Drosophila melanogaster: one gene and its partner. The protein of the gene in region 2 interacts with the protein of the main gene of each other region in a biochemical or structural test. Each region holds a gene or a part of one and is shown on either strand. Other genes may lie near its edges. The genes, in order: Bdp1 and Tbp.

What was found.
Region 1: the proteins of Tbp (region 2) and Bdp1 form a complex in vitro, tested with the Drosophila melanogaster proteins (one study listed by BioGRID).

Annotation. Positions count from the first base shown.
Region 1 is NT_033779.5:13,370,647-13,375,814, reverse strand, and holds Bdp1 (B double prime 1), read left to right. Parts: upstream 1-1,990; 5' UTR 1,991-2,111; coding exon 2,112-3,120; intron 3,121-3,178; coding exon 3,179-3,507; intron 3,508-3,561; coding exon 3,562-4,311; 3' UTR 4,312-4,388; downstream 4,389-5,168. Other genes in the region: CG6565 (uncharacterized protein), read right to left, coding at 1-604, 664-1,311; ND-B22 (NADH dehydrogenase (ubiquinone) B22 subunit), read left to right, coding at 4,876-4,973, 5,052-5,168.
Region 2 is NT_033778.4:21,685,615-21,689,617, forward strand, and holds Tbp (TATA binding protein), read right to left. Parts: upstream 2,029-4,003; 5' UTR 1,839-2,028; coding exon 1,056-1,838; intron 992-1,055; coding exon 713-991; 3' UTR 578-712; downstream 1-577. Other genes in the region: eIF3k (eukaryotic translation initiation factor 3 subunit k), read left to right, coding at 1-496; BaraC (baramicin C), read right to left, coding at 2,490-2,776, 2,845-2,896; CG10307 (uncharacterized protein), read left to right, coding at 3,429-3,608, 3,670-4,003. UniProt on the Drosophila melanogaster protein: General transcription factor that functions at the core of the DNA-binding multiprotein factor TFIID.

The DNA of each region.
Region 1 (5,168 bases), on a different chromosome or scaffold from region 2:
TGACCTTGCGCCGGCTCAAACTGCCCAACCAACTGCCGCGTTGCTCATTAGCCGTATATTCGTCATTGATAAGCGCGAATCCGTGAAACATGTCCTTCATCTTGATGGCCCGTGAGCAGGCGTAGTTCTTGGTGGCCACGTACATCTTGGTGAGGAACTCGGGCATTTGTTTCTGAGTAACCCAGGACTTAATATTCTGCGGTATGGGTATGCCCGGATCGTCGAAGTACGTGAGGACAAAGTGGAGGCCTGGCTCATGGAAACCGCGAAAGGGCTTGATGACCATCAGGCTCCAATAGTCAGTGACGCGAACTTTTCCAGACAACGCCGGATAGGTGTTGTGCGTGGCTCCGCGGTTGCAAATGAATATCAGCTTCTTGTTGTCGTCTTTTATGTAGCGGCGACAATAGACGTAGTCGCGATTGGCGAACAGTCGTGGCCACTGCATCTCCCAGTATATCAGATGCGAGTTGCTGCCCGGGACGGGATCCTCGCTGATGAGCTCAAGTCTTAGGGCCGTGTCGTCCCACTGGCGACGGTAATCCAAATCCGTTTGAACGTGGAGGAAGTCGTCCGCTGTGATGTCGTCGAATCGAGCATAAACCTGCAAACGGAAAGGCGGCATAAAAGTGAGCCCTAAAAAACTTTTAGATGGCCTCTTACCTTGTATGAGTATAAGGAGGAGCGCTCCTGCCGCCGCCAAATGCTGAATTCGTTTTTGCTAAAGTACGGCTCCCATTTTTGGTCGTCCTGGGCCTGAATGCGTACCGTTCCGGCCGGTGCATTGCGCACGTCCAGATCCAACGGTCGCAGACAATTGCTGATGCTGGTGTCCGGATCCGTCTCCGCCTCTTTGCTGGTGGACGGCTGGGATTGGCCCTTTTTGCAGCGCTGGTTGCCCAGCTGACAGTAGCAGTATTTCATCTTCTTGGCCTGGCAGCGGTCGCACAGCTGATTGTTGGGCAGGGCGTTGATAAACTCAATATCCCGGCGGCACAGATCAAAGTTGGACAAGGCCAGGCGCTCCTTGTTCCAATCGAAGCCATCGCTACCCATTCGCTTGATATTCAGCCCGACGAGACCCACTGCACTCATCACCATTCCCCGCAGCGGAGGCTGCAGCTCCCGGCGGTAGTAGGCGCGCCATAGCTGCTTCAGACCCTGAGTTCCATACACCGACTGGTAGAAACTGAACAACTGCTGAACGCGACGCGAGCGCTGGGCGAAAATCGACTCGCATTGGTAGCTCCAGGCACGCAGCGTTTCTCGGGACTGGTTCTTGATGGCCAGTACAAATCGATTGAACAGCATGCCGGCTAATTCAATTTGTCCGTCGGCCGCCCGCTTGCATAACAACCTACTCAAAAGTGCGGCGACTTCTTAATGCTCCTTCGCTATTACTGTGCCCCCGCACACTTGGCACATTTGTCGCCAGAAAACTTTGGGAATTTAGTACTTCTAGCCAGGACACACCCGATAGGTTTGCCGGAAGCGTTACTGCACGAGAGCTTGGTTAGGATCTGGGCGGACTTATCATGTTTGCCCGATTAGAAAAAACGTGCAACTTGCAATTTGTCTGCTGCTTCTGTTGTTATTCCGCTGTTGTTGTTCCTGTTGTTGTGCCGTTACAGGCAGCAGTGTTGGAAAATCGCAAACCGCCTGCTGAGAGGTGACAGCTACGATCAGTGATCACACTTTTCTGCAACACTGAAACACAAATAATATTAAATTCAACCAAACTTTTACTGTGTACAAATTTTTGACGTGAATCTGGTGAAGTGTGCCATAATTTATACCAATTTATTTTTGACACTGCGAATAAATTTACTTGACATGCTTTCTAATAACGCAGTTATCTCGTTTTTTTTTTATTTGTTAAAAAATCTTTTGGGTACTGCAAGTTTTTTATAGCCATTTTGAAACTTTAAATAAATTGGTTGTCTACTTTCTTACATGGCCAGGACACTGTGAATGCTCTTTGGCGTTAGCCAACACTATACTTGGGAAACTCGTGGTTGCGGCCGCATTGTTTTTGTTGCGCAGATTTTGATTCGATTTGATGTGTGAAACTGCGGTTGAGCCTGGAAGAAGCCTAAGAGTACCCAGGCAGGATGTCCATGCGGCGCCAGCGCATCAAGGCTCCGGCCAACCTGTCGCTTATCAAACGCAAGCCACGCAGGGAGGAGCTCCCAACGGCGAAAAAGGAGGATGAGGAGGAGGAGGCGGTGGTGGTGGAAGCAGAGGCTGAGTCCCCGCCCGTTGCATCGACCCCTGCTGCGGAATTGGAACTAGAGGCTGATGCAATCGCCTTCAAGATGCCCGCAAGCTCGGCTGGGCAGCTGGAAGAGGTATTCCACTCGGACCTCGAGGACAATGTCATTCAGATGGACTTGCAGAAGACCACCAATGGCTTCCCTATGTCGCCCAGCAAGGCTCAAGCCCGTCAGCGTGTGCGACCCACTCCGGTATTTGGCCAGCGACGCAACAGCTTCGTGGGCTCACCCATGGCCAGTGATTATGAGGGCGACTATCAGTCGCCAGCCACGCCCACGCGGCGAGAGCGCTATCTTAGCGGTTCTTCATCGGGAACTCCTTTGCAGCAGCAGGTGCACTCGCCTATGCCTCCGTCCCCCTATAAATACCTACCGCCCGCTAGTCCGGGCATGGGACGCATTCGCACCGAATCCACCTGTTCCACCTATTCCGAAGGAGGTAGCAAGCAGAGGAAGGGCGACGATAGGTCGCAAAGTCAAATTGGACAGCGGTTAAATGCCCGGCGAGACTTTGAAACCCGTTTCAATAAGGGTGTACCCGACAAGTCCACGTTCAAGATGATGGACATGATCTTCTACAATCCGGAGAACAATCCCATGGTGCCCAAACAGTCGGTGACGACCATCAAGGATGAGTCTGGTGGCGATGATTCCAAGCCCGCAGTCAGTCAACTATTGGAACCCAAGGGAGAGTCCACATCCGCTATGTTAGTGCCTCAGCTAAAGCTTGATGCCAATGGCGAGATGATCATTGATGAGAAAACATTGGAGATCGAAACCACGGCCGAGGTGGAGGCCCGCAAGGTGCTAGCCAACTCATCGTTAATCCTAATGGACGAGACTACGGGTGCGCCGCAGAGTTAATACATAAAAGTTGAATACTTAACGAATTTTATACTTTGCAGGAGATAATGGATTCTATAAACGCCACAAGCGCACGCCATACTGGACCTCCGATGAGACCGTCCGCTTCTACCGCAGCCTGCAGATCATTGGGACGGACTTCTCGCTGATGTGCCAAATGTTTCCAACACGTTCACGTCGGGATCTAAAGCTGAAGTACAAAAAGGAAGAGCGAACCAATGGGCAGCTCATAAACAAAGCACTCCTCTATCCTAAGGCCTTCAACATTCAGGAGCTCAAGGATCAACTGGAAGAGGAGGACCGCGAAAGGGAAGAAAATGATCGCAAGTGGAGGGAAATCGCACGAGCTCTTCCGGGAAACCCTAAGAAGGTAAATAATTTGTAGCTGACTGTAATCACCATTACATTTTTTAATTATATTTAGCGTTCCCGAGTACAGCAGCAAAGCAAGGCCTCAAGGGCACTAAACGATGGTGATGTTGTCTACGAAAACGAGCACGTAACGAGTACAAAGCTCGGCAAGCACGCCTGGGCCAAAAGGCGAAAGGAGTTGGAGACCGATGAGAACGACGGAAGTGCGCCGGCCAAACGTAAGCCAAAGGCTAAGCGACGATCTCCCAAGGTTTCAGTTCCAGCGGCAACGGAAAGCCTGTCTGATGTGGCGGCCATTAAGCAGGAAAAAACGATCAAAACCGAACAAACGAGTAGTCATTTGCCAACGGGGGGAGAACTGCAGGCTGAGCTCAATGGCCTCCTCATGGATGATCCGGTGGAATATGACGTAGATGTAAACAAGCCACGTGATAAAACTATTATCAATATGGATGATGGTACCCTAAGCTATGTCAGCGACGTCGAACCCGCCCCAGAGACGCCCAATCGAAAGGCAGAGACATATTTAATAAACTTCATTGAAGACCAAGATCATGAACTTATAACGCCGGATGACCCCATTCCGCCGTCCACTACCGAACCGGATATCGAACAAATTCTCGCCGAGCTTGCGGAAGGATCTCTGGCTCTCGTCTCGTCCTTGGATCCAGAGCACGAGGATCGTGTGCTCAACGAAATCTACATGCTGGACAAAAAAACGGGCGAGTTGTGCGAAACGCCTCTGAAAATACCAGAGCATATTGTTCAATGCATAATGAATGTTATGCAGCCAGAGGACTAACGACATTTTATATTTATATCTTAAGAGTATTTGTTAACAGTTATAATTTATTAAAGCATTTCGCTAGATGTATTTACAAAATTACTTTCTTGTTCCTCGCAAATTCAAAGGGAATTGCAAAAAATGCAAAAATGGGACTGACTTTCTTGGTTTCTTTAACTATTCCTAAAAAAAATTGTAATTAATATACAATTATAACAGATTTGTCAAAATAGTCTTATTTTATAAATAAAATAGGGTAGCAAGAAGGCTTTTAAGCATTAAAAGTGTTTGGTTATAGGTATCTACTCTAGACAGGATCATTTCGATTTCTTGCAATAACAAAAGCTTGTATAAAATGCAAAGATAGCCATTGCTTTTGTATAGAAAATTTAAATCAAATATATAAATATTTTTTGAATTTCCATTCATTTCAGAGTTGCCGTTCTCTAAAATTATTTTTCGCTTCGCAACACATATTTTCAGGCGCAGGGCTTTAGAGCACTGGACTTTTGACAGCTGTTGTTGTTGTTGCCTCGGCTGCGGTAGCAAATTAATACAATTTAACCAATATAGTAAAAAACGATGGCCCAAGTTCCCTTGGCAATCGTCTCGCACAAGCGCCAGGTGTGCAGCCTGTACAAGCGAGCACTGCGCAACTTAGAGTCGTGGTACGACCGACGGTGAGTGCACTCGGCGCAGAATTCCCAAATATTATATAATGAGCAAGTGCATCTTGGTTGTTTCTTAATGCCCATCAGCAATGTCTACCGCTACCGCGCTGTGCAGCTGCGTGCTCGCTTCGACGAAAACCGCTCCAAAGATCTGGGCGAGGGCATCCGCCTCCTAGCCTGTGGACAAAGGGAGCTTTTCGAGAC
Region 2 (4,003 bases):
CCAGTTCAACCCGCACATGCTGAACTTCGACATCACGTACACCATTCTGCTGAAGTCACTGACCAGCCTGCCGCACACGGATTTCGTGATGGCCAAGTGCCTGCTGCTGCCCCAGCAGATGAAGGACGAGAATGTGCAGACAATCATCGACCTCGCCGACATACTGGAGCGGGCGGACTTCACCCTCTTCTGGCAGCGGGCCGAGGTGAACCGCAACATGTTCCGCCACATCACCGGCTTCCACGATTCAATTCGCAAGTTCGTCTCGCATGTGGTGGGCACCACATTCCAGACAATTCGCAAGGACCTGCTTAAGGAGCTGCTCGGCGGCATCGAGGACTCGACGCTGGAGAGCTGGATCAAGCGCAATGGCTGGAAGAACCAGGGCCAGGGACTCGTCATCGTGGCCATGCAGGACGACAAAATCAAGACGAAGAACATTACGGAGAAGATCGAGTTCGACAACGTGGGCGCCCTGATGGCCCAGTGCCTGTAGGAACCTCATTCGCGTTCATAGTCCTTGTCTAAATTTTTACGAATAGTAATTAACGGAAAAAAAATAATAATAAAAGCCTGTCCGTACAGCTAAATTACTTTGTGGTTTATTCTCGATCGGAGCTGCTCGCCAGGCTGCTCCCACTCATATGATCAGACTTCCAGAACTACCGACCTTAAAACGTACACGTACAGAACTAATAAAGCGCTATCCTATTTATGACTGCTTCTTGAACTTCTTTAAAATGGGGAATATCTTGTCGAAGGCATCGTAGATCTCCTGCCGCACCTTTGCTCCAGTGAGCACCACCTTTCCGGACACGAAGATGAGGAGCACGATTCGAGGTCGCACCATACGATAGATTAAGCCGGGAAATAGCTCAGGCTCGTAGCTGCTGAAGTTGCAATGGGTCAGCACCAGGCCTTCCAAGCGTATGGGGAACTTGACATCGCAGGAGCCGACCATGTTTTGAATCTTAAAGTCGAGGAACTTTGCCTGCGGGAGAGAAAGCGTTAGAGATTCGCCGGGAAGAGAAAGGAAATGTAAAGTCTTGTCTTACAGGGAAACCGAGCTTTTGGATGATGCGCGCATACTTTCTCGCTGCCAGTCTGGAGTCGTCCTCACTCTTTGCCCCTGTGCACACCATCTTGCCGGAGCTGAAAATAAGGGCGGTGGTCCGGGGCTCTCGGATTCGCATAATCACAGCCGCAAATCGCTTAGGATTGTACTCGGCGTTTCTCGCATGCAATGCTATTTTCTTGAGGTCCAGTTTGCAGCACAGATTAACCGTGGACACGATGTTCTGAAGTTGTGGCACAATACCGGGATCAGCGGAACCTGGTGTGGCTGGTGTCATCGGCGTGGAGGGGCCCATCGTCTGGTGGATGTTGCTCAGGGCATCTCCGCCACCTCCGGCCCCCGAACCGCCCACACTCCGCTCACTCATGGGCATCATGTGGGCCATCATGCTCTGCGGCGTCTGCGGCTGCATCATGGACTGCGGAGTGCTCCCACCGCCGCCGGGCGCCTGACTCTGGAGCTGCTGTTGCTGCTGCTGCTGCTGATAGGAGGCCGATGGCTGGTAACTCTGCATTTGTTTGTGCGCCAGCGGGAGCGATGGTTCGTGGCCAAAGAGACCTGATCCCCCACTGGCGTCCGACTGCTGTTGCTGCTGCTGGTGCTGCACGGAACTGGAACCGGGTGCCGGCATCAACGAATCCGGCTGCGATACAGCCGGAGGATGGTACACAGGATTGGCCACTATCTGCTGGTCCGCTTCCATCTGGTGGAGCGGCGTTCCGATGCTCGGAATCGAGAAGTTGGGGCTTAGCATTTGGTCCATCTTACAGATGGTTTATTGTGGACTCCGGTGAATTTTTCAGTGACTCAATTCAAGATTGCTGAACGGGCTCAACTTTGGGTTTTAATTGCATACCCACAGAGCGGGAAATTAATTTAATAGTAATAATAATAATAATGTAATGCAACCGCGTTCGTCGTTGTACCTGTGGCTCGTTTTGTGAGAATGGCAAAGTCAGCGCTGCATTTTGCCGCAACTATCGATAGCTGGCTGGGTCTTACGTTTATCGTTACGTTCTTAGCATTTAAGTATTTCATTGAAAATATGTATGAAAATAATTATAACAATAATTATCTTTGATTGTATTTTAATGTTTAGTTAAAAATCACACTTCAACGTTTCAAATATTTCTTATACGTTAAATCTCTCCCTTACGTTGTTGCCAATCGATAACTAAAATGGCGCACTTTTCAAAAGAATCAAGTATACTTTGTTGTACTTCTGTTTAATAGCTAAATAATTTGTGTATAAGGTGAACAAAAGAAATAGCGAATAAATAATAGTGCATAATACTTAGAAGGAAAATGGTTATTCTCATCTATGCAGTTTCAGCAATAGATTTTCGTGGGCGTGAACTGAAAAACGATGTGTTAAAAATTAATTAATTGGAACTTTTGCACTTGGAAAGTGCAATTAAATGGTTATTAAACTAATTAGAAAAATGAGAACGCCGCCCATGCTGAAACCGAAGGTTGAATAGGCCAAACTTGTGACAGTTGCCGTTGAGGAATGGGTGTAAGTATTTCCGTGCTCATCGGTGTAGGAATGCTGCCCACTTGAGGGTGAGTTTTGGAACGTTCCTCCCATTTCGGGCACTGTGTAGGGTCCTTCGTTCTGACCCCGTATGTAAATGCCGTTTCCAGGTGTGCCGAACTCATGGGGACCATTTCTTCCATCATAATTCTGCTGCGCATTTGTCACTGGAGAAAAATAGAGAGAGAGTGTTGAATGGATGTGGCGGTTCTAGTGGTTCCCACACTTGACTTACCGGCAAACAACAGCGTGCTCACTATGAAAACAAGTAAAGTACACGATCTCATGATGCAGTTTCCAGTCACTGAGCTCAATTTCAACTGAGAGCGGCTCGGTAATTTACAATCTATTTATATAAACCGATAGAAAGACGAGCTTTTTGCCAATTAGCAGCTGAGAATGGGTAATGTCAAATGTTGAGCTTTCCTTGTGCGACAAACATTACAAGCGACAATGTACCAATTTTAAAATAGAACTACCCTATTGCCAATATCTAGCATTTTGCGCATGCCTTTACCCAGGAAATGAAATTTTTAATTTTAGTTCATCAGCTTGGGAAGAGAAGGCAGGCAAAAGAGAGTGCAGCAAATAGAGATTTTTGTGCATATATAGACTCCGAGAATCGTTATATAACATGCACTCAAAACAAACGAAAAAACGCGCAAATCGGGCGACAGTTCGAAACTACAAAAGACAAGGCCTGAAAACTAAGCTACTAGCGCCAAAAACAGAGTAGGTTTTCCAAAGAGTGTGAAATAGTTTGGAACCCAAGACAACCAAATTCAAGTGCTGCAGAAGTAAACACTTAATAAGGGCGACATGGAGAAGGTTTGTCAGTTTTTCCGCAACAACTACGTGCTGGCCAATTGCGAGGATGCCATATACAAAAAGGCATTCTCCCTGAATCTGTCCCACTACCAAATCTCCGACGTTCCGGGCATCATAGAGAAGTGCGAGACGCTGATGAAGCTGTTCCTCAACCAAAACAAGCTAACAAAGGTGGCACCTGGTGCACAAGATAGCCAATGAAATAATAGACTCACAATCCCTTGACTCACAGATTCCATCCTCCATTGGTAGTTTGATGCGACTTCAGGTCCTCACGTTGGACTACAATAAACTGGACGAATTCCCGCTCTGCATCTGTCGTTTGGTCCGGCTGAAGTTTCTCAACATCAGCTGCAATAACATTAGTAGTTTGCCACCCGAACTGGGATACCTCACTCAGCTGGAGACGTTCTGGTGCAATAATACTGGGCTCCTGGAGCTGCCCAACGAAATTCGTAACTGTGAACACCTCGAGACGCTGGGCGTACGGGGAAATCCCTTGAAGAAGTTGCCCGATGCCATAGGCGCTCTGTCCTCCCTGCGTTGGCTAACAGCCGAGGGCTGCG